Sus scrofa: one gene and its partners. The protein of the gene in region 1 interacts with the protein of each later gene in a biochemical or structural test. Links are inferred from orthologs where the notes say so. Each region holds a gene or a part of one and is shown in the gene's direction. Other genes may lie near its edges. The genes, in order: PLCG1, FGFR2, PDGFRB, EEF1A1, ERBB3, LAT and WAS.

What was found.
Region 2: the proteins of PLCG1 (region 1) and FGFR2 form a complex in vitro, tested with the Homo sapiens proteins (2 studies listed by BioGRID and IntAct). The link is inferred for Sus scrofa from reciprocal best matches to the Homo sapiens genes PLCG1 and FGFR2.
Region 3: the proteins of PLCG1 (region 1) and PDGFRB form a complex in vitro, tested with the Homo sapiens proteins (3 studies listed by BioGRID and IntAct, with this or other methods). The link is inferred for Sus scrofa from reciprocal best matches to the Homo sapiens genes PLCG1 and PDGFRB.
Region 4: the proteins of PLCG1 (region 1) and EEF1A1 form a complex in vitro, tested with the Homo sapiens proteins (2 studies listed by BioGRID, with this or other methods). The link is inferred for Sus scrofa from reciprocal best matches to the Homo sapiens genes PLCG1 and EEF1A1.
Region 5: the proteins of PLCG1 (region 1) and ERBB3 form a complex in vitro, tested with the Homo sapiens proteins (2 studies listed by BioGRID and IntAct, with this or other methods). The link is inferred for Sus scrofa from reciprocal best matches to the Homo sapiens genes PLCG1 and ERBB3.
Region 6: the proteins of PLCG1 (region 1) and LAT form a complex in vitro, tested with the Homo sapiens proteins (2 studies listed by BioGRID and IntAct, with this or other methods). The link is inferred for Sus scrofa from reciprocal best matches to the Homo sapiens genes PLCG1 and LAT.
Region 7: the proteins of PLCG1 (region 1) and WAS form a complex in vitro, tested with the Homo sapiens proteins (2 studies listed by BioGRID). The link is inferred for Sus scrofa from reciprocal best matches to the Homo sapiens genes PLCG1 and WAS.

Annotation. Positions count from the first base shown.
Region 1 is NC_010459.5:43,837,503-43,841,002, forward strand, and holds part of PLCG1 (1-phosphatidylinositol 4,5-bisphosphate phosphodiesterase gamma-1), read left to right. Parts: intron 1-548; coding exon 549-652; intron 653-766; coding exon 767-863; intron 864-1,071; coding exon 1,072-1,141; intron 1,142-1,594; coding exon 1,595-1,752; intron 1,753-2,951; coding exon 2,952-3,048; intron 3,049-3,137; coding exon 3,138-3,362; intron 3,363-3,439; coding exon 3,440-3,500. UniProt on the Homo sapiens protein: Mediates the production of the second messenger molecules diacylglycerol (DAG) and inositol 1,4,5-trisphosphate (IP3). Plays an important role in the regulation of intracellular signaling cascades.
Region 2 is NC_010456.5:131,219,002-131,222,501, reverse strand, and holds part of FGFR2 (fibroblast growth factor receptor 2 precursor), read left to right. Parts: intron 1-1,008; coding exon 1,009-1,199; intron 1,200-2,582; coding exon 2,583-2,730; intron 2,731-3,500. UniProt on the Homo sapiens protein: Tyrosine-protein kinase that acts as a cell-surface receptor for fibroblast growth factors and plays an essential role in the regulation of cell proliferation, differentiation, migration and apoptosis, and in the regulation of embryonic development.
Region 3 is NC_010444.4:151,158,536-151,161,818, reverse strand, and holds part of PDGFRB (platelet-derived growth factor receptor beta), read left to right. Parts: intron 1-735; coding exon 736-847; intron 848-1,266; coding exon 1,267-1,366; intron 1,367-1,822; coding exon 1,823-1,928; intron 1,929-2,786; coding exon 2,787-3,019; intron 3,020-3,283. UniProt on the Homo sapiens protein: Tyrosine-protein kinase that acts as a cell-surface receptor for homodimeric PDGFB and PDGFD and for heterodimers formed by PDGFA and PDGFB, and plays an essential role in the regulation of embryonic development, cell proliferation, survival, differentiation, chemotaxis and migration.
Region 4 is NC_010443.5:92,420,526-92,424,750, forward strand, and holds the start of EEF1A1 (elongation factor 1-alpha 1), read left to right. Parts: upstream 1-1,425; 5' UTR 1,426-1,458; intron 1,459-2,141; 5' UTR 2,142-2,176; coding exon 2,177-2,320; intron 2,321-2,515; coding exon 2,516-2,695; intron 2,696-2,816; coding exon 2,817-3,113; intron 3,114-3,196; coding exon 3,197-3,347; intron 3,348-3,435; coding exon 3,436-3,692; intron 3,693-3,780; coding exon 3,781-4,015; intron 4,016-4,115; coding exon 4,116-4,225. UniProt on the Homo sapiens protein: Translation elongation factor that catalyzes the GTP-dependent binding of aminoacyl-tRNA (aa-tRNA) to the A-site of ribosomes during the elongation phase of protein synthesis.
Region 5 is NC_010447.5:21,472,919-21,477,017, forward strand, and holds the start of ERBB3 (receptor tyrosine-protein kinase erbB-3), read left to right. Parts: upstream 1-1,299; 5' UTR 1,300-1,706; coding exon 1,707-1,788; intron 1,789-4,099. UniProt on the Homo sapiens protein: Tyrosine-protein kinase that plays an essential role as cell surface receptor for neuregulins.
Region 6 is NC_010445.4:18,637,817-18,641,791, forward strand, and holds the start of LAT (linker for activation of T-cells family member 1), read left to right. Parts: upstream 1-1,175; 5' UTR 1,176-1,533; coding exon 1,534-1,636; intron 1,637-1,828; coding exon 1,829-1,856; intron 1,857-1,981; coding exon 1,982-2,016; intron 2,017-2,264; coding exon 2,265-2,352; intron 2,353-2,485; coding exon 2,486-2,550; intron 2,551-2,641; coding exon 2,642-2,819; intron 2,820-2,891; coding exon 2,892-2,986; intron 2,987-3,975. UniProt on the Homo sapiens protein: Required for TCR (T-cell antigen receptor)- and pre-TCR-mediated signaling, both in mature T-cells and during their development.
Region 7 is NC_010461.5:42,784,597-42,788,096, forward strand, and holds part of WAS (wiskott-Aldrich syndrome protein), read left to right. Parts: intron 1-1,131; coding exon 1,132-1,218; intron 1,219-1,335; coding exon 1,336-1,438; intron 1,439-1,830; coding exon 1,831-1,872; intron 1,873-1,969; coding exon 1,970-2,023; intron 2,024-3,283; coding exon 3,284-3,452; intron 3,453-3,500. UniProt on the Homo sapiens protein: Effector protein for Rho-type GTPases that regulates actin filament reorganization via its interaction with the Arp2/3 complex. Important for efficient actin polymerization. Possible regulator of lymphocyte and platelet function.

The DNA of each region.
Region 1 (3,500 bases):
CCTTGTCCCTGGGGGTCAGCCCTGACTCTTCCCGACTGCCCCTGGGGTGAGCCCCCTTTCCTCCTGGGCCGGCAGCAGGACAGGGTGGGGGCACGCTGGCCAGAAGACGTCATTTTTTGCCGCTCCGCCCCCACACCTCCAGGGGGGGGTCTGTCAGACAGGACCTTCCTCGCTTCGCCTTTTCTTCTGAGGGACGAGGAGCTGTGTTCTGCCCTCACCCCCTTTCCTCGGCAGCCCGGGAGCCTGCGGGAGTCTCTTGCCTACTTGGCAGAGGAGGAATGGCGGGGTCCCAGCCACACCCCAAGGTCCCCTGGTCTCAGGGGAGGCACTCAGCACCCACAGACGCTCCCTTCCCAGCCTCCCAGCCTGACGCCCGGGGCAGGGGCTTCAGGGTTCCACCCAGACCCCATGGAGCTTCCCGCAGGCCCAGGGCCAGGACTGCAACGAGGGCGGGTTTCCGGCAGTGACAGCCGAGCCCAGGCACACGCGTGTGCGCAGGTGGAGCAGGGAGGGCCTGTCCGCCGTGCTCAGCGCGCCTCTCCCCGCAGTGTGCCGTCAAAGCGCTCTTCGACTACAAGGCCCAGAGAGATGACGAGCTGACCTTCACCAAGAGCGCCATCATCCAGAACGTGGAGAAGCAGGAGGGAGGCTGGTGAGGTGGCCCCGGGTTGAGAGCCTTGGTGCTGGCGGGGGTCCTGGGTGCCCATGGGCCTGCGCGGGAGTTTGGGGTGGTGGCTGGGGGTCAGCACCTTTATGGCTTCCACAGGTGGCGGGGGGACTATGGTGGGAAGAAGCAGCTGTGGTTTCCGTCCAACTACGTGGAAGAGATGGTCAGCCCTGCGGCCCTGGAGCCCGAGAGGGAGGTGAGAGCAGAGCCGTGTGGGTGGGGCAGATCCCCGGCACACGTGGCATCGGGGTGCCTGTGCGCACAGCCCCCTCGTAGGTGGTCCCTTCAGGCCCCGTGGAGCCTTGGTCGCACGTACCCGTGTCAGGTGTGTGTTTCACACGCACAGACGCCCCTCCCACATGTGTACAGCAGACTGGCTGACTCTCTTGCTTTGCCTCCCACAGCACTTGGACGAGAACAGCCCCCTGGGGGACTTGCTGCGGGGGGTCTTGGATGTGCCAGCCTGTCAGATAGGTGAGCCCCCGGCTCGCTCTCTTGTGCACTGCCCCTTGGGGTCAGGCCCCTGGTGGCTCTCTTCCTGCCCTGAGGGAAAGGGACGAAGGCCAGACCCCCAGAGGCCGCTCTCATTCTGAGATCTCCCCATCCCTGGGTACCACCGCTCCCTCTGTCACCCCTGGCTGTGGCCCCTGCCTGCTCGTCCCTTGCAGGCACTGTGGATGACTGTCCCACCTGACGGCGGGTCCCGGGGTGGGACACAGGCTTGGAAGCAGGGTGGGGAGGGGCACAGCACGTGGTCAGGGTGGCAGGGACTTAGTGCTGGGATGCAGCCATTCTCGGTTGTGAAAGGGGCCTGGCAGACGGCACCCCCTCCCCATGGGGGGAGAGAATTCATTGGAGCCAGTGCCCGGGGTGTGGGGTGGGACCCAGGCACATGTGTCCTCAGCTCTGCTCTTCTCTCCCTCCCAGCCATCCGTCCTGAGGGCAAGAACAACAGGCTCTTCGTCTTCTCCATCAGCATGGCGTCGGTGGCACATTGGTCCTTGGATGTGGCTGCTGACTCACAGGAGGAGCTGCAGGACTGGGTGAAAAAGATCCGAGAGGTGGCCCAGACCGCGGATGCCAGGGTGAGAGCCTGCTGGTGGCCCTCAGACCACAGGAGCCTGGGGTGTGCAGCCCCTGCGCCAGGCTGGGAGCAGAGGAAACTCACGCCTGGTTGGCGGTGTGGCAGGCTGAGGATGTGTTGAGTTGGAGGCACCCATGGGACACTCAGGTGGCTCTGCTTAGCGGGCAGTTAGATGACAGGGGCAGAGGTGGAGGATGAATCTGGGCTGGAAGCCGGAGTGGGTGCCCAGGGCTTAGGGGCAACGTGGTGTGGGACAGGAACAGGGCGTGACGTTGGAGGACGTGGGTGTGGAGAACGAGGGGCTGGGAAGGGTGGGCCGGCGAGGCACAGGGTCTGATGTGTTGAGGGCTGCGGAGCAGAGCCTGAGAGCGCCCGTGGGATTTGGCAGCAGCCGTGTAGGCAGTGGCTGGGCGGGCATCACAGAGTGTGGGAGGCCAGGGCGCAGCCTCGGGAGCAGGGAGGCTCGTCCACTGAGCCTGGGGTTGAGGGGGAGGCGCCAGCCTGCGGGAGTGCCTGTTTGATGCCACCCCTGTCATTTGGGGTCGGGTGCTCGGACTACAGTACACACCTGGGGCTGCTTTGGGACAAGGACAGCTCAAGCTTGGCCAAGAGGGGTGGGTGCTAAGGATTTTGTCAAGAGCGGAGCCTGGAAGGAGGAAGTGGTTGCAGGGATGGATCCTGGGGTCTGGGAAGGAAGGAAGAGTCGGAGAATGAGTCCCCCCGTCTGGAAGGAAATGGGCCTTCCGGGGGCACTTAGGAGTGGGCTTCCCAAGCTGAAGTCTGGCTGTGGCCAGCAGGTGGTTGTGTTGAGTGAGGGGAACTGAGGGTGAGCTTCTGGGCCAGGAGAGGTGGAAGGAAGGTTCTTAGGACACAGAAGACCAAACCCGAGTCCCCAGTGAAGTCACAAGAAAACCAGGAGGCAACCTTTGTTCCTCAGAGAGGCTGGGTACTAAGTGGCCACAGAGCATGGCTGGGGGTACAGTCAGCCAGGACCCTGGGGTGTTACTGGAGCACAGGTGTGCCCTCTTAAGTCTGGCAGGGCATGTGTCCTCGGGGGGCAGGAAGAGAGGGGACAGTTCTGAGATGTGACTGAGGACAGGGAATGGGGTCTGGAAGGGGCAGGTGGGTGTGCCCAGGGCTCCCCTTTCCCGGGGGGTGGGGGGAGGTCTCCCGCCTGGCTCAGGGCCTGTGTGTCATCAGCTCACAGAGGGGAAGATGATGGAGCGGAGGAAGAAAATCGCCTTGGAGCTTTCTGAGCTCGTCGTCTACTGCCGGCCTGTTCCCTTCGATGAAGAGAGTAAGGCTCTGGCCCAGGTGGGGTGCGGGTGCAGCCCCAGCAGCACCTGGGAGGACGGGCCCCGTAAGCCCTCTCCCTCTTTGGCGCAGAGATCGGCACAGAACGCGCCTGCTACCGGGACATGTCGTCCTTCCCGGAAACCAAGGCTGAGAAGTATGTGAACAAGGCCAAAGGCAAGAAGTTCCTCCAGTACAACCGGCTGCAGCTGTCGCGCATCTACCCCAAGGGCCAGCGGCTGGACTCCTCCAATTATGACCCCTTGCCCATGTGGATCTGTGGCAGTCAGCTGGTGGCCCTCAACTTCCAGACCCCAGGTGAGGAGGTGGCCCGAGGGGTGGGGGCCCTGGGGGGCAGGTGGGCTGGAGTCCACCCTGTAACCCGACTCTTGCAGACAAGCCGATGCAGATGAACCAGGCTCTCTTCATGGCCGGCGGGCACTGCGGCTACGTGCT
Region 2 (3,500 bases), on another chromosome or scaffold:
CTCCAATTCAATCGCTAGCTTGGGAACCTCCATATGCCATGGGAGCGGCCCAAAGAAATAGCAAAAAAAAAGACCAAAAAAAAAAAAAAAAAGACGGTCTGGGACGGTGCCAGGATTGGGGGGCCCCATGTCGCTTTCTGTTCCTTTCGGTGCTCTCTCTGGGCCAGCTGAGGACTGCCTGCCTGTGCCCCTGGCGTTGGGCACACAGCCACTGCTTATCGAGGACACGGATGGGAGTGTGGGGCAGGACGTGCACGAATGGAGTCAGTTCCACCGCAGGAGATGAGACCACTTGTTCGTACCTTTGGGCTTCGGCTTTTCATTTCTTTTCTTTTCCCTTTTGTTCTTTTTGGCCGCATCCACGGCATGCGGACGTTCCCGGGTCAGGGATCGAACCTGCACCACAGCAGCGACCTGCGCCACAGCAGTGACAAGGCCGGATCCTTAGCCTGCTGCGTCATCAGGGAATTCCCTATTTTCTTTTTATAACAAGGGATTAGAGGGCTTGTCGGGGCATCTTAGAAATGTATCAGGAGACACTGCATTCGGGTGCCATTTTGGAATTCAGGGTGACCTTGAAATTAGTCTTGTCACTTCCCTGGGATGTCAACCTATGATCAAGGTGAGTTTCTGGTATCGTCCCCAGTGGAAACTGGGAGGAGGCCTTCTTTCCCCCGCCATTGGTCTTTTTGATTGTCACCATAAAACCTTATCCCTTGTTCACTAGGTGGCCGTGGCCATGGACCACAAATGACTTGAGATGGAATAAGGTCTTAGTTTTCTAAATAAGTATTCCTTTTGCAAGGGTCACGCTCCCGCCGTCTGCTTTGAAGTCGTCGTTGTTATGCGTTGGGCCGTGGTGTTATTTCAAAGGAGTCAGCCAGCAGACTCGAGGCCTTTTTGGCTTGAGTTCCCGGGCAGCTTTCTGGACCACACCACTCATTTGTTCTGTTCGTCTCTGCCCCCCTCCCATCCCCGCTCCCCCTCTCCTCCCCTCTTCTCCACCAGAGCGATCGCCGCACCGGCCCATCCTCCAAGCCGGACTGCCGGCCAACGCCTCCACCGTGGTTGGGGGCGACGTGGAGTTTGTCTGCAAGGTGTACAGTGATGCCCAGCCCCACATCCAGTGGATCAAACACGTGGAAAAGAACGGCAGCAAATACGGGCCCGACGGGCTGCCTTACCTCAAGGTTCTGAAGGTGAGTATGGCCCGAACCCAAAGGTACCCACAACCGGGCGGGTGTGTGTGTGTGTGTATGTGTGTGTGTGTGTGTGTCTCCTCGATGGGTTCGGCCCCAGGTTCTTTGAATTTGATCGAAGATGACTCTCCTATGTGGTCAGCACAGGGTGCATTCGGGAATTAGCAGATCGTAGGCTCACGAATAAGATCTCAGAAGGGAGCTGTGCGGGGAGTGGGGAGGGCTGCTGAAGTTGCGGTCAGAAGAGCTGCGTATTTATGACCCTGAGATCTTAGATGAGACGGTTAGGCTTAGCTGCGCATCTTTAAAGTGGAGATCAGGATACTGTCTGCCCCACAGGGCATGGCGCAGAGTCAGTGGGATGGAAGAGCTGGAAAGAGCTTTGTAAACTCCAGGCCTTGTACCCATGTGCATTGTTACACTGACCTTGTTTTCTCCTAATAGGACTTTAGGATCCAATTTTAGTAGCCACCTTTTAGAAACAATTTAGATTTTCCTTTTACAAGAAATCCTGGAGTTCCCATCGTGGTGCGATGGAAACGAGTCCGACTAGGAACCATGAGGTCATGGGTTCCATCCCTGGCCTTGCTCAGTGGGTTAAGGATCTGGTGTTGCTGTGGCTGTGGTGTAGGCCGGCAGCTATAGCTCCACTTGGACCCCCTAGGCTGGGAACCTCCATGTGCTGTGGGTGTGGCCCTAAAAAAAAAAAAAAACAAAATCCCTTAGCCTTTGCAATTGATTCACACATGGTTTAGATGATAAACTTTAGACGATATTCCTACCCAGGGCAGTGTTGCACAGGGACTCATTCTTTCCCCTTGTAGTTCTCACTTGGTTCCTTGCAAGACCCTGTGTTGAGAGCACCAGCATCTTTAATTTTTAGATCTCACTCTTCAGGATGGTGGTAGCAAAAGCGGCAGCTAAGTGTGTACGAATCCTTTTCAGTTCGCTGCCTGCCGTGTCTCCCACATTGAGCTGCTCCTAGAGAATGTCCTTAAAAAGAACAGTCTTCCAGTAGAACCACAGGTAGCCCAGCCCAGCTCAGAACTCTCAGCCAATGAGGTGTTCTCTCCAGCTGTGAATACCACGAATCCAAAAAGCTGGAAAAAGATGACCAGCCTGGGGAACTGCGGATCCATTTTGCACGGGGATTGATCCCAGCCGCCCACCCGTCTCCACTGGGTCACTTCTGCTCTCCACCGGTTGACTTATTTTGTTCTTTCTAAACCCACAGCCCTTGTCTGCTGCTGTTGAGATGAGATGGAGGTTGTGTTTTTTTGTTTGGTTTTCGTTTTTTTTTTGTGGTGTGTTGGTGGTGGGACCCTAGGTGCTGCGACATCCTTGCTGGCTGGCCGTCATATTGTTCTCCTGTGTCTGTTCTAGCACTCAGGGATAAATAGTTCCAATGCAGAAGTGCTGGCTCTGTTCAATGTGACTGAGGCGGATGCTGGGGAGTATATTTGTAAGGTCTCCAATTATATAGGGCAGGCCAACCAGTCTGCCTGGCTCACTGTCCTGCCAAAACAGCAAGGTAACAACGTTTTTGTTTTTTGTTGTTGTTGTTTTTTTTTTTTTCCTTTTTCTTTTTTTCTTTTTTCTTTTTTTTCTTTTTTTAAAGAAGGCTGGATGATAGCAGCTGAAAAGACTTGGTGCTTTGGGAGACTGAAGGCGGCTTATAGGATAACTCTGTGGTCTTGGTATATTCATCATAATCTTTCTTTGGTGCTGCAGCTGGTATGATGCCAGCAGCCATGGAAAAATGCCCACAATGTTCAAAGTGCTTGCTCTCATTTCTTGTAAAGATTATCCTCCCCACCTCCCGCCACCCAGTTTTTAAGTTGTTCCTTCTGGTTTCTCTTGTTTGGGCTGCACAACTCCTGTCACCCCTGCACATCAGCACCCTTGTAGACACACACACTGGCAGGCCGATCGGATCTGTGACATTTGCTCTAGCAGCAGAAATCATACCTCCTCTGCCCTAGGTGTTCCGAGAAATATCGGCACCATGTCACTCCTTCAACAGAGCCTCATTTTCTTGGTTGCCTAACTGATACCTATGAGATACTGTCCTTGACCTTGTTATCCCAAATTCGAGGATGCACCGTCTCGCCGAGTCAATGTGCTGCTGGCTGCCATTGAAGACAGCAGGTTGGCCTTTTCAATTTGTCATGACTCACATTCAAAGGTTGATATTAAAAAACAACAAGAAGAAACAAGTCCCATTTCATTGCTCCCAAGATAAGACTTCAGCCATTCGCTTTCAATGCAATGTATAGCAAGCTGGTTATGCAGGAGCGAAAA
Region 3 (3,283 bases), on another chromosome or scaffold:
GTGTGGCTGCGGCTCGTGGGCCCGCAGGGCAGGGCTCCTGGTGGCCCGACCGGGTAGGCAGGGACAGTCGGCCCGCCCAGCGCTGTGTGCAGGGACGGCGACGGGCGTCCCCAGCTGTGCTCGGAGTGGGGTGGGTGGGGCAGAGGTGCCAGGGCCGTGGTGGGGCGGCTGGGATTTGCCGGTTGCGGCCTCGGCCAAGGGCCCCGTCGTAAGGGGTCCTGGGAAGGTTGCAGGGAGCAGGCCAGACGCGCTGCCCCAGCAGCGGAGGTGAGCAGAGGGAGCGCAGGCAACAGGCCAGAACAGATGAGTAAGGCAGGCTGCGTGTGCTTCAAACGTGCCTTCTGTTCATGTCCCCACCTGCCACGAGCTGGGGTCACGCTGGGCCCCGGAGGCACGGGCCGAGAGCTGGGAGCCCCAGGCACCCCCGCCTCACTCAGCCCAGGGTCTCTACTGGGTGGGGAAGGGTCCCGTTCTGCGAGCAGCCTCAGGCCCTGGGCACTTCCCCGCAGACAGGGGCTGCTCTGGCCCCAACATGTGGGGAACAAGCTCCGCCCCCTGCGCCCCGGGCCAGCACTGGGTGGGCGTGGGACCCGGGTACCAGCTGGGAGGGCCCTCAGGGACTGGGAAGTGAGAGAGCGCTGAGGGTGGGGACTGCCAGGCCGCCCCCGCCCCCGGCCCCCCCTCCCCTCCCGGCCCCCAGCGCCCCCCCCTGCACTCAGTGTCCCCCCCCCACAGACCTTCCTGCCTCTGAAGTGGATGGCCCCCGAGAGCATCTTCAACAGCCTCTACACCACCCTGAGCGACGTGTGGTCCTTCGGGATCCTGCTCTGGGAGATCTTCACCCTGGGTGCGCGTCCTGCCGTCCCCCCCTGGCCGCGCACTCCTCCGTCCTGGTCGGGCTGGGGGCCGGGCTCGGGGACGGGCTGGGGGCCGGGCTGGGGGCCGGGCTCGGGGCCCTGGGTCAGGCCCCAGCTCTGCCTCTTTCTGTCGCTGTGTGACCCTCACAAGCGTCCTGCCTCCTCTGGGCTCTTTGCCACCCCGTCCGAGTCTCGGCGGGTTTGGACAGTGACGTCCTCTGGGTCCCTGATTCTGGGGAGGGAGGCAGGCTCTGTCCAGAGCCTGTGGGGGGGCCCACATCTCCCAATGCCAAGGCCACTGCACCTGCACCCACGCCGGGCTGGCGTACCCTTCCCTGTCTCGTAGAAGAGGGTTCCTGCCACTTTTCCGACCCCCGGGCCTGTGTCTCCTGTCTCTGCTCCCCGACAGGTGGCACCCCGTACCCAGAGCTGCCCATGAACGAGCAGTTCTACAACGCCATCAAGCGGGGCTACCGCATGGCACAGCCTGCCCACGCCTCGGATGAGATGTAAGTGGCGCCTCTGGGAAGCCGTTCTGATGCCAGCAGTAGACGGACAGCCGCCTCTGCCAGCTGAAGCTGGGCACTCACGTCTAGGTTCAGCGATCTAGAAAACCCTCGGTCTAGCCAGCCCCAGGTGTGCCCATGACGGCATCCACAATCTCTGTCCCCCCGGGACCCTGCCGTCCTCCGTGCTGGCCTCACTTTCAGGCTGGCACCCTCCACACGATCCCATCCCAGCCGCTTTCACCGTAGTTCCCACGAGAGGCCCCAAGCTGGCTGCCGGGGCTCAAGTGGAATCACACGGGCCCTCCTGGGTCACGGCTCACCAAGGCGTGGTCAGGCCCGGGGAGCCACTGACCGGGGCGGGGGTGGTGGGAGGCTGCCCGAGGGAGCCCCTCGCCCTCCTCCCGTCCTCACCTAGTCCCGGGAGCCCCGACGCTGACCGCTGTGCCCCCTCCCCAGCTATGAGATCATGCAGAAGTGCTGGGAAGAGAAGTTTGAGATTCGGCCCCCCTTCTCCCAGCTGGTGCTGCTTCTCGAGAGACTCCTGGGCGAGGGTTACAAAAAGGTGGGTCGAGGCGGGGTGCGGGTGGGGCATGGAGCCTTCCGGTCCAGAAGCAGACCCGGGCCAGGCCCTGCAAGACGTGCTCGTGTCTGGGGGACCGTCCTTTACCTCTCTGGGCCTCGGCCTCCCTGGCGGTGCTGATGATGGGTGGGCTGGAGCCGGAAGCTTACTTGAGCAGCACAGAGACTTTTGAAGTAAAAGCCTACGTGGAAGCTGATGGGAGGTGGAGGCAGAGCCTTCAGCCCCTTCAGCCGGCCTCCTCCTCTTGCCTTGGCACCCCGCCCAAATCCTGGCTCCTCCACCAGTTCGAGCAGCCCCAGGCTGCATGAGCACTAAGGCCTGGACTGCTTGGACCCCGCCGCAGGCTCATCCAACGCAGTCAGAGTCAGCGGGGCCTTAAAACCCTCCCTGCCCGACTGCGAAGCTAGTGTGAGGAGATGCAGGTGCCCTCAGGCCCAGACCCAGCCCTCACCCTCAGTCCCGGCTTAGCCCACTCCCAGCCGCGTCGGTTATGGCTCTGGGACCAGTGGGAGGGAGGGGGGGTGTCCCCGTTCCGCGGCCCCAGCAGGGGAGGACGCGGCAGGCCGAGGGCCCGCACCTGTCTGCTGTGACGGGGGGCGGGAGAGCGGGTGGGCGGCGCTAGGGTTTTGGGTGCTGGTCTGAGAGCTGCCCCTTCCCCGGTGGCCTGGAGCTCCCCGGCCTTGCAAGAGGCCAGGGACGAGGGCACCTCAGCCCCGTGGCTTAGGGCCGTCCTTCCTCTCGGAGCACCGGGCGCCTTATTACACGAGAGGGGCGGGTTGGGTCAGGGTCTGAGTGCGCGACGACCCCTAACGGCACTTCTGGTCTGATCCCCGGGAGCAGAAGTACCAGCAGGTGGATGAGGAGTTTCTGAGGAGCGACCACCCAGCTGTGCTCCGGTCCCAAGCCCGCCTGCCCGGCTTCCCTGGGCTGCGATCCCCCCTGGACAGCAGCCCCGTCCTCTATACGGCCGTGCAGCCCAACGAGGGTGACAACGACTACATCATCCCCCTGCCCGACCCCAAGCCCGAGGTGGCCGACGAGGGCCCGCTGGAGGGCGCCCCCAGCCTGGCCAGGTAGAGCTCCCACCTGCCGCCCGAGGCAGTGCTGTGTGTCTGTGTGCGGGTGTCCTCGCGCTGCGAGGCGGGTCTTGAAGTGAGTTGCCTGGAGTGAGAACCTGTTCCTGCCGGTGGATGGAGGAGGCAGCTGAGCTCCCTTGACCTTTGAGGACCTTAGGTGGGCTGGGCAGGCTGGTGAGAGCCTCAACAGGCTGGGACTTCCCGTAAAGGAGCCCCTGGGGGCCCTCTGCCCTGTCCCCTCCAGGCCCTGCCCAGCCCTGC
Region 4 (4,225 bases), on another chromosome or scaffold:
ATTTGCTTTTAACTACTTCCCATTGCTCTATATATTAGTTTCCCTTTTCCAATTAGATTGTGGGTTTCTTCCCCCAAAGGAAGTATTTCTTTTGCATATGCTTCGGAGCCACTCTTAGCTCTGGCCACATAGTAGGTTCTCAAATATTTGTTGATAGATTGGCTCAAAAAGTTGCAGTAGTGCTCTACACGTGGAAGAGACGATCTAGTAATTAGCTCATTTAAAATAAAGGTTCCTCTTTCTTCAGGAATATTTTTGAATATCTGCCTGATTGCCAACCAAAAAGGCCTCATCTTGTCTTGCCCTGGATTTATGCCTAAAATGCAGTCACAATGGATAGGACGACAAAAGATGAAGCCGTTTATTCAAATGGGATAGGCCATTTTTGAGAAACAGTGATTTCACAGCAAACGTTGGAGTAGTAAATTGGGTGGATAAGCTTCCTGGCGCTGTAGATCTTAGTCTCTACTTGAGATCGTGTATAAGCACTGAACTCAAAAAATTCTTTTTAGGTTTTTCATGCTTGCAACCAAGAGTATACACTGGAAAAAAAATGTTAATAGGAGGGTAGACACACACTCAGGGTCTTAAACGTAATAAAATTAGGATTAGAAGTAAAGAAAACTGTAGTACTTAAGTCTATTCTAAACTCAAAAACTGGACGTCTGGAGTACCACGTGGTGTGTAGAACGAACTTAGATAAAAGAACTGAATGGAAAAAGCCAAGAGGTCAGCGCAGGAGCCTGTTCGCCAGGCTGTTGGTCAGCAAACTGAGCCACTCGCGGATTCTCGGCCCTGAAGACCGCCCCGAGGCCCCTGCCGCCGCGGTTCCCCGGCCTTTTACGCCTCCCTCTCCAGCCGGAAGGGGCGCGGACGGCAAGGGCGGTGGAGAAGCCCCGGCAGAGGAAGCGGCTCCAGGGGTTAGTCCTTAACCTGCGAGACCGCAAGACTGAGGACCGGTGGGGTACTGCCGGGTAAGGGCTCCCATCTCGGTCCAACTTTGCAGTTAAGCTACGACCGGTTCAGGGAAGATTCTGGACGCCTCCCCGCCGCCCCACCCCCCAGCTGTGCGGAGAGTAATTCATACAAAAGGAGGACTCTCCTCAGCCAGGGAAATCCCAGGGACCGTCGATAAACTCCCACTAAACCTAGAACCGAGTGAGCGCTCGACCCCGCCTCCCACCCACCAGCAGTCGTCATCCTCCTGGTTGAGAGGAGCATGCGCCGGGCGCCGTGTGCTCGTCAGTGGGCTGAACGCACATCGCCCACGGTCCCCGAAGATGGGGGGAGGGGACGGCGGTGGAACCGGTGCCGGGTGGAGGTGGCGCGGGGTAAACTGGGAAAGTGGTGTCGTGTGCTGGCTCCGCCCTTTTCCCCGAGGGTGGGGGAGGACCATATATAAGCGCCGTGGTCCCCGCGAACGTTCTTTTTCGCAACGGGTTTGCCGCCAGGACACAGGTGAGTACGGGTGTGGCCTCCGTCCGCATGGCCTCCGCCGGTGGCCACGGCCTTAGCGTGCCTCCCGGCCCCCCGCGCGTAGAGGGCTCTGCGCCCTGGTCCTGATTCCGAGCTGCGGGCGGGGGGAGGTGGAGAACTCGAGGCCCTCCGCTCTCGCGGTTCCCTACCGCGTGCCCGGTGGCGGCCTGCTGGGGCGCCGTGGCCGCCGCGTGCGATCCGCGCCTTCGCGCCCGCCCCGTCTGTCTTCGCGCTCGAGTTCGGCCGGCAGCCGCGTGTTACTGCCAGGGCGGCCCAGCCGAGGCCGCCCAAGGTGGCCTCCGTGCCCGGCGGTCCCGGGGCAGACGGCCGCGGCGGGGCGGGGCGGGCGGTCGGAGACCCAGCGCCCCGCCCGGGCGGGCTGCGAGCGCGGAAAGATGGCCGCTCCCGGTCTCAAGATGGAGGACGCGGACGGCGGGCGGCGCACAAAGGGCCGGGCGGTGCTGCCCGCGCCGCTTCCCGGGACTCGCGGCCCGGGTGGGGGAGGGGCTGGGCGCCGGGGCGGCCCCGTTCGCTGGGTGTAGGCCGGGCAGGGCCCGCAGGGCGCCGGTGCTAATGCTCCCTGGAGTTTGCCCTTGGCTGTTGGGGTTGTGCCTGAGTCTCCGGTCGTCGGGACAGTAGTTTAAAGAAGGTTTTTGTCGTCTTAGGTGTCGTGAAAGCCATCGCTAAAAGCTAAGCAAAAATGGGAAAGGAGAAGACTCACATCAACATCGTCGTCATCGGACACGTCGATTCGGGCAAGTCCACCACTACTGGCCATCTGATCTACAAATGCGGTGGGATCGACAAAAGAACCATCGAAAAGTTCGAAAAAGAGGCTGCGGAGGTCGGTAAAGTAACGTCAGCAAATTAAGTGGTAGTTCTCTAAAACTAGTGTATATCTGACTTGAACTAGTACATTGCAAAGTTTGCTAAGTGGCTTAACTCCAGCCAAGTTTAGGAGATGGAAGTGAAACCTAGCATTGCTTCCAAGTGGGACTAAGGAGTTTAGTTACCGAGTAACCCTTCTTAATCCCTGCAGATGGGAAAGGGCTCCTTCAAGTATGCCTGGGTCTTGGACAAACTAAAGGCTGAACGTGAGCGTGGTATTACCATTGACATCTCCCTGTGGAAATTCGAGACCAGCAAGTACTACGTGACCATCATTGATGCTCCAGGACACAGAGACTTTATTAAGAACATGATTACAGGCACTTCCCAGGTTTGTAGGATTAAGAACTCCTGAGAGTAACATTTTGAGTTATCTATAAATTGGCGAAACCATGGATCTGTCCTTTTTGGAGAGGTTTTCACAGGGTGTGGCCTTTTTTTCTTTTTTAAAGGCTGACTGTGCTGTCCTGATTGTTGCTGCTGGTGTTGGTGAATTCGAAGCAGGTATTTCCAAGAACGGGCAGACCCGTGAGCATGCTCTTCTGGCCTACACCCTGGGTGTGAAACAGCTCATTGTTGGCGTTAACAAAATGGATTCCACTGAGCCACCCTACAGCCAGAAGAGATATGAAGAGATTGTAAAGGAAGTCAGCACCTACATTAAGAAAATTGGCTACAACCCTGATACAGTAGCATTTGTGCCAATTTCTGGCTGGAATGGTGACAACATGCTGGAGCCAAGTGCTAATGTAAGTGGTTTTGATGAGTTCTCAAAACTTAAGTCTGGGAAGGGATAAGTTTGAAAACACTAATTGATGATCTTGTGTTTTAGATGCCTTGGTTCAAGGGATGGAAAGTCACCCGTAAAGATGGCAATGCCAGTGGAACCACACTGCTTGAAGCTCTGGATTGCATTCTACCACCAACTCGTCCAACTGACAAGCCCTTGCGCCTGCCCCTCCAGGACGTCTACAAAATTGGTGGTAAGTTGAACGTTACACTCAGCTGGTATGGGTTGCAGTGATGTTTGTCTTCATACGAGATAATTATGCTGTGCTGTGAATACTTCAGGTATTGGTACAGTCCCTGTGGGCCGAGTGGAGACCGGTGTTCTCAAACCTGGCATGGTGGTCACCTTTGCTCCAGTCAATGTTACAACTGAAGTCAAGTCTGTTGAAATGCACCATGAAGCTTTGAGTGAAGCCCTTCCTGGGGACAACGTGGGCTTTAATGTCAAAAACGTGTCTGTCAAAGACGTTCGTCGTGGCAATGTGGCTGGTGACAGCAAAAATGACCCACCTATGGAAGCAGCTGGCTTTACAGCTCAGGTAACACTTCAGTGACAGGTTTTTAAACTGCCAGAACCTTAACTGTCTAAATGTCTAAAATGTGCTAAATGCAAATTTTCTCCCTAAGGTGATTATCCTGAACCATCCTGGCCAGATCAGTGCTGGTTACGCACCTGTGCTGGATTGCCACACAGCTCACATTGCCTGCAAGTTTGCTGAACTGAAGGAGAAGATTGATCGTCGTTCTGGGAAAAAGCTGGAAGATGGCCCCAAGTTCTTGAAATCTGGTGATGCTGCCATTGTCGATATGGTTCCTGGCAAGCCCATGTGTGTTGAGAGCTTCTCTGACTATCCTCCTCTGGGTAAGAGTGCCTTTTTAGTGTAATTAAGCTTCAGTAAAAATGGAAAAGCAGTTATGTAGAGAAAGTGTTTCTCATGGTGATTTAATTTTTGTTTTAATAGGCCGATTTGCTGTTCGTGACATGAGACAGACAGTTGCTGTGGGTGTCATCAAAGCTGTGGACAAGAAGGCAGCTGGAGCTGGCAAGGTCACCAAGTCTGCTCAGAAAGCT
Region 5 (4,099 bases), on another chromosome or scaffold:
AAAAACCTGAGTGCCTTCCCCCTTCTGATCATCTTATCATCTCAGCCATCCTCACCAGGTGGCAAATGAATGACCTTGGAATAGTCCCACATTTCCAGCTCTGTAAAATGGAGAGTGATGTCCCCTAATTCACCTAATTTGTATGTTAAGTGAAACGTTCTCTAAGTTGGAGGAAAGGGCTGCAAACGACGTAGTTTCCGTATATATATGTTAATGTTTCTATTACTATTATGACTGTTATGTAAGTGGTCAGGGCAAGGTGAACGCCCAGAGGGCAAAGGTAGCCTCCGCCAAGGAATGGGCCCTCCAGGGCGCATCTCAATACGGAGCAAGTTTAAAGAATTTTAGCCAGTAATCTTGACTCGGGGTGAGAGGTTGAATTTGTCTTAATCAAGGCTCAACCGTTCTTGAAGTCTTCGGGCTTGAAACTCTAGGAGAAAAAAGTAGGCTTTCTGGGCAAGATCCGAAATGCAACGCGGATTGGGGCCTCACTGCCACCTGCTGGGCACCAGGGGGTGCCGGTTGGATCCATTTGAAGTCTGGCTGGCTTGGGGGCTGCCACTCTGGGTGCGCCGGACCGCCTCTGGACAGGATCCGGGGAGCTGGTGGTAGAAGTGCCCGAGGTTCATGACTTTCGGAGACGCAGTGCCCTTTCCGCGTCCCCCTCCACCTCATTTCCAGCGACACCCGGGCACAGAAGGCCTGGGAAAAGTGTGAGCGCCTGTGGTGGGAACGGTGTGCCCATCTGGGTCCCCCGAAGAGCGGCGAGGACCGCGACCGCTCCGACGGCGCGGTCAGACTCTTGTTCAAGGGGAGGCAGCTGTTCTTCCAGGCAGCCGTGGGGGGCAACAGAGGGGACGGCGACAGGTGCGGGAGCCCCTCCCGGGGTGGAAGTGAAAAGGCGGGCTTCGGGGTCTGTTCCCAGGCTGGAAGCCACCCCCGCCCCCCAACCAAATCCCCGGGAGAGGCCCGGCCGGCGCCGGGTCTGGAGGAGGAAGCGGCCGGAGACAGTGCAATTTCACGCGGCCTCTGGGGCTCGGGTTCCTGGGCAGGGTGGATGAGTTATGGGGTTTCGAGGGGGTTTGGGGGAAACTGAGGTGGCCTGAGTGGGCGGCAAAAACACCCTCCCACTCAAAAACACACATGCAGAGAAACATTTACATTCAGATAGAAAATCCCCCAAGTGACCCAACCGGCTAGGGGAGTTGAGTGATTTGGTTGGTGGGCGAGGCCAACTTGCAGGGGGCTGGGCTTTGGAGCGCTCTCCCCACCCCCATTACCTTTCTCCTCGGGAGGCATTTGGGGGCGGCTGGAATCTTGGCCTCTCCTTAGTCCAGCTCCTGGAGAAAAATTAGGGTGAGACCCATCCGCGATCTGCGTGGCCCCAGTTGCCCGGCACTGGAGCTTGGGGCGCGCTCGGGGCGGGCCGCCGAGGCTCCAGCAATCGCTACTCCAGCCTAGCGCCCGAGGGGGCGCGGCCGTGACTCACCCCCTCCCCCTGCGCTCCCTCCTTCGCTCCCTCGCAGACTACACCCCTCCCCTGCTATCCCGCCCCGGACTCCGGCTCCGGCTCCGGTTGCAATTCGCAACCTCCTCTGCTGCCGCTACCAAGTCGCTGGTGGCTCAGGTGGCTCCGCTTCGATGTCCTAGTCCAGGGGCTCCCCCGGCCGGATTGGGCTGGGCTCCCCTCACCCGCCGCTGGAGTCATGAGGGCGAACCGGGCTCTGCAGGTGCTGGGCTTCCTCCTCAGCCTGGCCCGGGGCTCCGAGGTGGGCAACTCTCAGGCAGGTAAGCGGCGCGGGAGCACCGGCAGGCTCGGAACTCGGGATCCCGAGCGGAGCGCGCGGGGTCCGGGAGGGCAGGGGCAGGAACCCGGGCTGTGCTAGGCTGGGGTGCGGAGCCCCGGTCCGCTGGGACCCCTCCTGGGCGGGGAACGTCAGGATCGGGTTCTCGGCGTGGTCCGGGCGGGGAGAGGATTCCTGCACCACCACCTTCCCCTGGGCACCTCCTCCCTGGCCCGTCGCGGACCCTCTGATTTGTCTCTCGGGATAGGGCTGATGCGCAAACATTCACACTTCTGAGGGACCCTGCAGGAAGGGGAGCTAGGACCCCCATTCTGTAAACGTGAGGGCCTGATTGGAGGTGGAGATCTTGGAGGGAGCCGGGCGGGGAGAGGGGGTCTCGGTTTGCACCCATCCTCCTGCCCCCTCCTGCCCCCTCCTGCCCTCCACCACCTCCAGTTTGGTTGTTTTGCCGACAGGGCGGAGCTGTGGAAGGGGTGTGTGTGTGGGGGGGGGTAGGTTGTTGTTCTCTTGTGTTGGAAAACAAGAGCAGCACCTCCTCTTCCGTGAGTGGGTCTGCCCTGGGGAGAGCTGAGATTAACCCCAGGGCCAAGTCCAGGTGACAGCAGGTTGAGAGGCCACGCAAACACTGCCTGCCTCCTTTCTCTCAAAATAATAAAAGTTGGCTGGTTCCAGACTCGACCAACCTGTTTTTAAGACCCCGATCAATTCAACTGGTATTTATTAAGCATCTACTATGTACAAAGCCCTGGGCCAGGAGATGAAGGGGCAAGGACTTCCAGTGGCTGTTTCTCTCTCAGGGCCCACAGGGCTCCTCTCCCATCTTCTGAGGCGCCTGTCCTCCGAGTTCCTTCTTAGACACAGCTTCCCCCCCACCCCCCATTCTGTTTATTGTCTGGCTGTCTCTAGGAGTCTAGACAAGAGTCAGTTTGCTCCACTATTCCTCCTTCTACTCCCATGCCAGCTGAACTCACCCCTTTGGGGTGTCTCTGGGACCGTGGACACCTGAGGGGTGCTGGGGTTGCTGGCATGGGAGGAATCCTGTTGCTCTCCTCCCCTCCCCCCCAGACCTCAGCTTGGGGTTTGGCACAGCCAGGGCCCCTTCCCCAGGGTGGGAGTGGGAGAAACACCTGTGCTTCCCTCACAGTTGCTGGGCCTAAATTTAGAGCCTGGGATCTTGAGATGTGAACACTCCCAGCTGGTGGAGGGTGGGGGTCTGGGGATTGAAGTGGGAGAGACTGAATGGAGGGACTCTATCACTGTCCCATCCAGACCCCTGGAATCTTCAACCCAACCGGGAACCCAGGAGTCCCAGACCCTGGCCACCTTCCCCGAGGGAGACAGGAGGCAGGCATGGTTGGGTCTCTTTACCCTTTATCTGGATCCTGCAGCCTCTGGGCATCCGGCCCTGTCTCAGTCCTTCTATAGCCCCTTTGTCCTGCCTGTGATGGGGGTGGGGGACTTTGGAGAGGAGGCCTGTGGTTGAAGAGGGGCTGGAGATTCTTGCTCTGACCCACCCCAGTGCTCTCTACCAAAAGAGGGCCTGTGACACTGGCTCTCCCAAGGCCCCTGGTCCCTGAGTACAGCAGAGATGGTCTATTTCCCCTCCCCCTCCCCTCCTCCCCAGGCTGCCCAGTTCCTCCTGAGAGGTGTTGTTCATACTCTCTTCCCGCCCAGCCACCCAGCCCTTTGCTCTCTGTTTGTGTAATACGGACTTTACCCTCAGGGAGGCAGGGAACTGGGACATCTTACTCTGTAGCCTCCCAAGCACAGACACAAAGTCTGCACAGACACATATGGGCAGGTGGGATGGATGGGGCCACCTGAAATACTTCCTGATAAGGAAGCCCAAGGACAGAACCAGTAGAGATTTTGGGGCCAGTAGGGGAGCTGTGTACATGTTTGTCTGTGTGTGTGTGTGTGTGTACACGCACACATCCCGCTTCCCTGTGTGGAAATCTTGGCTCCTCCCTTATCAGGGGAGAAGGGTTGGCGCCTTGACTTGGAAGAGAGGGTGTCCTGCCAGGAAGGGGGTTGGGGTGGGGCTTTTCCAGAAATGACTAACCTTCCTAGTCGTTTTCTTTTTAGCCCAAGGACCCTAGCATTCCCAGGCTCCTCTGGGAGCGCCTGGCCTTTTTACCCCTCTGCTAGGTCTAGCTCATCCCATTCCCTTTAGGAGGTGTGACAGGGAATAGAAGGCCTTCAAAGGTCAAGTGGGCAGACTAGGGGTGCATCTTGGAGGAGGGCTTGGGGCCTCACCAATCTCCCTTCCTCCGTTCCCGCTCCTGCCTCCCACT
Region 6 (3,975 bases), on another chromosome or scaffold:
GCACGTACAGGGTCAGTGGGGCCTCCCCTCTGTCTGTCCACAGCCCCTCGTCTAACTTCACGATGCCCCCTGCTTGTCTGTCCATCTCTCCGCCCGCCTGGCCCCGTGTACCTGGCAGCTCTCAGTCCACAGCCCTCCTGTTCCTCGGGCGTCGCATCTGCTGTTCCACAAGCTGATGCTCCTCTGTGTCCGTAGCACGGGTGGCTCTGCTGCCCCGTCCATCTGCCCCTGCCTGTGTGTCCCCTTCCTGGCCCTGTGTCTGTCTGTGCATCCAGCCCTGGCTCTGCTCCCTTTCCCGGCAGGTCTGTTGTTTGAGGCCGGGCCTGCCGATGACCGAATCGTGGTGCCCCAGCGAGGCCGATCCACCCGGGTCCCCGTGTCCAGTGTGCTCATCTGAGGGGGGGTCACCGCTTGCTACCTGCACACCCACCACGGCTGGCCCCGGGCCCACCCAGGAGGGGCCTGGGCCCAAGCTCTCAGCCTGGCCCATTTCTTAGGAGGGGCTTGGCCCATGTTCCGGCTCCCACGCACTACATGGGGAGCCAAGAGGGGATGCTCCCCATCCCCACTGGAGCAGCCCCAGGGGCTCGGTGCTATTTGTAACTGAATAAAATTTGTAGCCAGACCCCAAGTGCCTGCTGGAGTCTCTCTGGGTGCTAGTGACCTCTGACCTCTGGATGGCAGGGGACGCCCCCTTTCTAGACCCAGTTTTCCAGGGGCCGTTGGGTCACTCCTGTGGCACCTTGGGCAAATCCCTGTCCTTCTGGGCTGGTGAACGAGGGGGTGGAGTGAGCTGGCTCGTGTGACCATGAGTCACGCCCATGTCTTCCCTGGAGCCCGCCCGCCCTTGGCAGGCCGGCCAGGGCGAGGTGGGGGTGGGCACTGCCCTGTGCCCCTCAGAGGTCCCGCTGTCTGAGCCTCCCTCCTCGCTGCCTCCTTGAGCCTTGGCTGTGGAGGCCACGGCGGCCACAGCCTGCAAGTATCTTCCCCTTCTCTCCCTGCTGTGAGCTGCCTCTTGTCCGGAGACCAGAAGACCCTTCTGGAGGGCCCGGTGGTGGGGGTGGTGGCTCCTGAGGCCTCCTTCCCCTCCCCTCTGGCTGGGTGGGGGTGGGAAGGGGGCGGGTGCAGCCGGCTGAGGAGCCCTGATGATTTCCTGCCCTCACCCGGCGCTTACCACAGCTTCCTGCCGCGGGCAGGCAGGCAGGCAGGCAGGCGGGCAGGCGCTGAGAGAGGCGGGCGCAGAGCCCAGGGGCAGGTACGGCTGGGGCGCAGGGTCTGTATAGGGGCGCCTGGTGCCCCAGACTCCAGCCCAGCCTGGCCTGACCTCCCTGGGGTCAAGGGCCTTCCAGAACCGGCGCTGCCGCCCACTCAGCCCATTGAGGGGAGGGGGCGCGGCTGCCCCTCTACCAGGCTCCCAGCCTGGTGCCCGCCTGGCCCCTGCCCCTTTGCTGGCCTGGCCCTCGCCCTGCAGCAGCTCTGCTCTTGAGGGCTGTGCAGCGAGCAGCTAGGCCAGGTCCAAGCCCCCTCCTGCAGATGGAGGCGGTCAGCCTGATCCCCTACGCACTGGGCCTCCTGCTGCTGCCCCTCTTGGCCGTGTTGCTGATGGCACTGTGTGTGCGTTGCCGAGAGCTGCCAGGTGAGTGGGTGCTGGTGGGGTGATTGGATGCCCAGACACCCCCCACCTCCAGGGATCCTCACCCCACTCCCCAACCCCTTCATCCCTCTTTAATCGTCTCTAACTGTTTCGGAGACGCCGAGCACCCCAGGGTCCCTCTCCCTCTGCCCCCGTCACCCCCTTTTCCTGCCTCACCAGCCCTCTCTTCCCCAGGCTCATATGACACTGCTGCCCCCGATAGGTGAGTCTGCCCAGGTGACCCAGTGTGTGTGTGTCTCCCTCAATACCCACGGTGGGCCCGAGGGGACTGGGGCGGGGGCTGGGGCCTCTGGCAGCCACTTAGCCAAGCCGTGTCTCTCCCGCTAGTTTGACCCCAAGTAGCATCGTGATCAAGCGGCCTCGTAAGTACACGGTGGGGCCCCTCCTTCGGGTGTGGGGAGAGGGTCCCCTGGTGCCGGAGAGTATGTGCCTTTGTTTAGTTCCCCCCTATGGCTGCCCACATGGCCTTGACCTGAGCTGGGGATGGGGAGGAGATGGGGGCACCCCAGGGCCTAGGGGTGTTGGGGGTCAGTCTGCCCTTTGAGGCCATGACTCGGGTAAAGGGCATGATGTTTGGAGTCATTTCTTCAGCTTGGTCCTGTGTCCTCAGCCACACTTGCCCCCTGGCCACCAGCCACTTCCTACCCGCCTATGACCTCCTACCCACCCCTGAGCCAGCCAGATCTGCTCCCCATCCCGTAAGTAGCCTCTCTCCCTCTGAATCCTCCTTTGCGGCCCCTTGCCTCCTTGGAATGGGGGCCTCTTAGCCTGTCGCAGTCCCTCTTGCCCCAGAGCCCCACTCCAGCATGACCACTGACCTTTGACTCCTAGGCGATCCCCGCAGCCCCCCGGAGGCTCCCACCGCATGCCTTCTTCCCGGCAGGACTCAGATGGTGGTAAGCGGGGCGCGGGGCCCAGGGGCTGGGGCTGGGCAGAGCCCAGGCCCGCCTGAGCTGAGTTGATTTCCCTCTCGCGCTCTCTTGGCAGCCAACAGTGTGGCCAGCTACGAGAACGAGGGTGCGTCTGCGATCCTGGCGGCCCTGGCTGGGAGGAGGCCAGGGCCCGCCCTGGGCTCTGCTGACCCTGTGTCGTTCCCCCCAGAGCCAGTCTGTGAGGATGCGGACGAAGACGAGGATGAGGAAGACTATCACAACGAGGGCTACTTGTGAGTGGCCAGGTGGGAGGTAGGGGCTGAAGCCGGGGGGTCCTTGCTCACCCCATCCTTGACTTTCCTCAGGGTGGTGCTTCCCGACAGCGTCCCAGCCACTGGCGCCACGGTCCCAGCAGCTCCTGCGTCCAACAAGCCCGGCCTCCGAGACAGCGCCTTTTCCAGTGAGTTTGCCGTCTGACCACCCCCTGCCCTTGGGCTGCGAGCCCTTGGCTCTTCCCTCTCCTCCTGGATGCCTGCTCCCCCTTCATTTTCTCTCTTCTCTCTTTCTGGCACGTCTGTCCTTCAGATAGGGGACTTCCGGCTCCCATCTTCTGATTTTCTTACCATTTCTCTCCTCTTTTCTCGTTGTCTTTTCCCTTTCTTGTCTGTGAGATTTCCTTGACTTGATTCTTCTTTGGACTCTATGCTTTTATTTTGTCTGGCCTGTCCAAAACCTTTCTTCATCTCTGAATGTTCCTTTTTCATAGCCTCCTGTTCTTGTTTCACGAAGGCAATATCATCTCGTAATTCGATAAGGATGTTGATTGTAGGTGGTCTTTTGAGGGGGGTTGTGGGGGTTCGTTTTCTTCTGCTTTCTGGATTGTTTTAATTTCCCTTGGGCTGCTTTTCTCTCATTTTAGTCTCATCCTGCCTGTTAGAGGCTTTTGTCGAGGTCTCATCATCATTAGTGCCCCGTTACCCGCCTTTCTGTCTCTCCTGTATTCTCTCTCGACTTGTTTTGGGCCATCACGTCCACACCCGGCTTCATTTGCCATCCAGATTCCTAACTCACCTCCTCTCTCCTGAGCCCCAGACTTCTCTGTCCAAGGGCTTATATTCACTTATATCCATTCACTCATTCGTTCATCCATCATATTTCCTGGGTGCCTGGATATAATCATCATATTTCCTGGGTGTATTTCTTATTTATCATGAAGTACAGTCATGATAAATAAGAGCTGACATTGTCAAGGGCGTCCTATGTGCCCTGCTAAGAGTGTTATGTGTTTTAACGTATTACTATTAAACCACACAATTCCCAGCTGCTTTGGAGCCTGGCCCTTCCCCGCCTGGCCCTCTTTTGCCCCATCGGTACAGTTATTTTTTTTTTTAACAGAAGCTTGGCAGCCCTTCCTGTACCACAGGCCCTGTTTTAATTCACTGCTTTAGT
Region 7 (3,500 bases), on another chromosome or scaffold:
AGAAATCCCCATTCAGAAGTTCCCATTGTGGCTCAGCGGTTAATGAACCCAACTAGCATCCATGAGGGTGCCAGTTCGATCCCTGGCCCTGCTCAGTGGGTAAAGGATCCAGTATTGCCGTGAGCGGTGGTGTAGGTCACAGATGTGGCTCAGATCCCGCATTGCTGTGACTGTGGTGTAGGCTGGCAGCTGTAGCTCTGATTCGACCCCTAGCCTGGGAACCTCCATATGCCATGAGTGCAGCCCTAAAAAGAAAAACAAAAAAAATATTCCCACTCAAAGCTCCTGAACTCCAGAATTTTGCCTAGCTCCTAAGTCATAAATCTGTTCCATAACCCCCCAGTCTAAATATGCCATTGAGTCTTGAACTCCAAATTTGTTCTGTTAAAACCACAGCATGGACCCCAGAATTCCTATGTGAAAACTCCGGAGCACGCAAATACTGCCAGAAATCTGTTCCACAAATCCCCAACCTCAACTCCCTAAGCATAAACCCCAAATTCATTCTTCTAAACCCATGAAGATAGACTCAGTAGAGCCACATCAAGATCCCAGAGCTGGGAGTTCCCTGGTGGTCTAGTGGATAAGATTCAGAGCTTTCACCACTGCAGCTCGGGTTCAATCTCTGGTCTGGGAGCTGAGATCCCACATCAAGCTGCTGCACACTAGCCCCCCCCCAAAAAAAATCCCAGGGCCATCGAATATTGACCCAAATCCAAAGCCATAACTCTACTCTATGAACCTCAAATTGCACATAACTTGGCTGGCTACCCCCCAAGACAAAAATCAACCTCCCAAGTCTATAGGTCTGAACCTCAAATCTCAACCCAGTTCCCAATACTGGCACCCTACCTGCCCAAACGAAGGCCCCCCCATAAAGGGGGGCAGGCTTCAGGATGGATTCTGCAAAGGGGCTCAGGTTCCTAGACTGAGAGTCTCAATCCTCACCTTCAAACCCCCAAATCCCAAATCCTCTCACTGAAGTATCTGACTCCCATAGTGCACCCCAATCCGCCCCAGACATCTAGTCCCTCAACTCTCTGATGCTGAACTAGAAAGCTCCAAATCAGATCCCAGGACCCCAAATTTGTATACTACGCCTCAGTGCCAGCATGTTCCCTGCCTCTCCAGGCCGGCCGGCTGCTCTGGGAACAGGAGCTGTACTCACAGCTGGTCTACTCCACGCCCACCCCCTTCTTCCACACCTTTGCTGGAGATGTAAGAGACCACCCAACCCCCAGGGGCCTCAGTCGGGGTGCTGGGAGGAGGTGGGAAAGGGGTCGGGGTGGGGGGCAGGGTGCACCTGGAAGGCTGCTGACCCCCAGGCCTGTGCAGGAATGCCAGGCGGGGCTGAACTTTGCAGATGAGGGCGAGGCCCAGGCCTTCCGGGCCCTGGTGCACGAGAAGATCCAAAAAAGGAATCAGAGGCAAAGTGGAGGTGAGCAGGCCTTGGGGGAGGAGAAGAGGTTGCCCAGAGGTGAGTGCAAGAGTGGGAAGCTGGAGGGAGTTCCCGTCATGGCTCAGTGGTTAATGAATCCGACGAGGAACCATGAGGGTGCGGGTTCGATCCCTGGCCTTGCTCAGTGGGTTAAGGATCTGGCGTTGCCGTGAGCTGTGGTGTAGGTCGAAGACGCGGCTCAGATCCCACGTGGCTGTGGCTGTGGTGTAGGCCGGGGGCTACAGCTCTGATTCGACCCCTAGCCTGGGAACCTCCATATGCCGCGGGAGCGGCCCAAGAAATGGCAGAAAGACAAAAAAAAAAAAAAAGAGTGGGAAGCTGGAAAAGCCCCCATCATGGTTCTGGTTCCCAGTCGAATTGTCTCTCCACAGACAGGCGCCAGCTCCCCACTCCACCCACACCAGCCAATGAAGGTGAGTCCTTTAGCGAGTGCAATTAGGAGTAAAAAGGGCCCGGCCCAGGAACCTGTGGCAGGATTGCAATGGCTCTCTACCCATCCCATCTTCCCAGAGAGAAGAGGAGCGCTCCCACCCGTGCCCCCGCACCCAGGTGGAGACCAAGGGGGTGAGTGCTGATTCTTCCCTGTGTCTCTGGGTGGGCAGGTGGGTGGGGGAGTGGGTGGATGGGTGAGTAAGTGGGTGGGTACAGAGATAAGTGGGTGAATGAGTAGGTGAATGGATGTGTAGTTAGATGGATTGGTGGTGGACAAATGATTGAATAGGACGAGGAATTGAGGGAAGGATGAAAATATAGATAGATGTACAGGTTGTGTGTATAGATATATAGGTGAGAGTTCCCGTCATGGCTCAGTGGTTAACGAATCTGACTAGGAACCATGAGGTTGCGGGTTCAATCCCTGACCTCGCTCAGTGGGTTAAGGATCCGGCATTGCCGTGAGCTGTGGTGTAGGTCGCAGATGTGGCTCAGATCCCGCGTTGCTGTGGCTCTGGCGTAGGCTGGTGGCTACAGCTCTGATTAGACCCCTAGCCTGGGAATCTCCATATGCTGCAGGAGTGGCCCTGGAAAAGACAAAAAGACAAAAAAAAAAAAAAAGATATACAGGTGAATGGGTATGGGGATAAATAGATGAATGGATGGATGGATGATTGACTGAATGAGTGACTGAATTCAACAGTGAATAAATGAGTGACATAAAATTGCAAGCAGTGGAGTTCCTGTCGTGATGCAGCAGAAGCGAATCTGACTAGCATCCATGAGGATGCAGGTTCAATCCCCAGCCTCGCTCAGTGGGTTAAGGATCTGGCATTGCCATGAGCTATGGTGTAGGTCACAGATGCGGCTTGGATCTGGTGTTGCTGTGGCTGTGGTATAGGCTCCAATTCAACCCCTAGTCTGGGAACCTCCATATATTCTATGGGTGGAGCCCTAAAAGACCAAAAAAAAAAAAAATTGCAAACAGTGGATGGCACAACATTGAAACCAACTACACCTTAATAATAATAAAAAAAAAGGACTAATCCCAAGCATCTTGGGATTTACAAGTGAGAAAAAAATTTCAATCTGTGGAGAAAGCAATGAATGAATGAATGAACAAGTAATTTAACAGATTAGTCCATGAGCAAGTGAATCAATGAGTTGATACTTAAGTGATAAGCGTGAGTGAACATAAATAAATGAATCAGTGAATGCGTGGATGGTTTGTGGGCCCCAACCACACTCTTCTCCATAAACCCTACTTGGACCCCCTCACCCCCTCCCTCCACAACCATCAGACACAGAGATTCTCCCAGCTATCTTCCTGTCTCTTATGCCTGTGCTTTGCTTGGTTGGGTCAATGACTCAGTCCCCCTATTTTCCCCACAGGTCAAGGAAGCAGCTCACTGTCCTTGGTGACAGTGGACATCCAGAACCCAGACATCACAAATTCACGATACCGTGGGCTCCCGACCCCGGGGCCTGGTCCAGGTGATAAGAAACGCTCAGGGAAGAAAAAGATCAGCAAGGCTGATATTGGTGCACCCAGCGGATTCAAGTGAGAACCTCTCCCCAGTGGGCCCATGGATCCCTGGGGGGTGGGGGA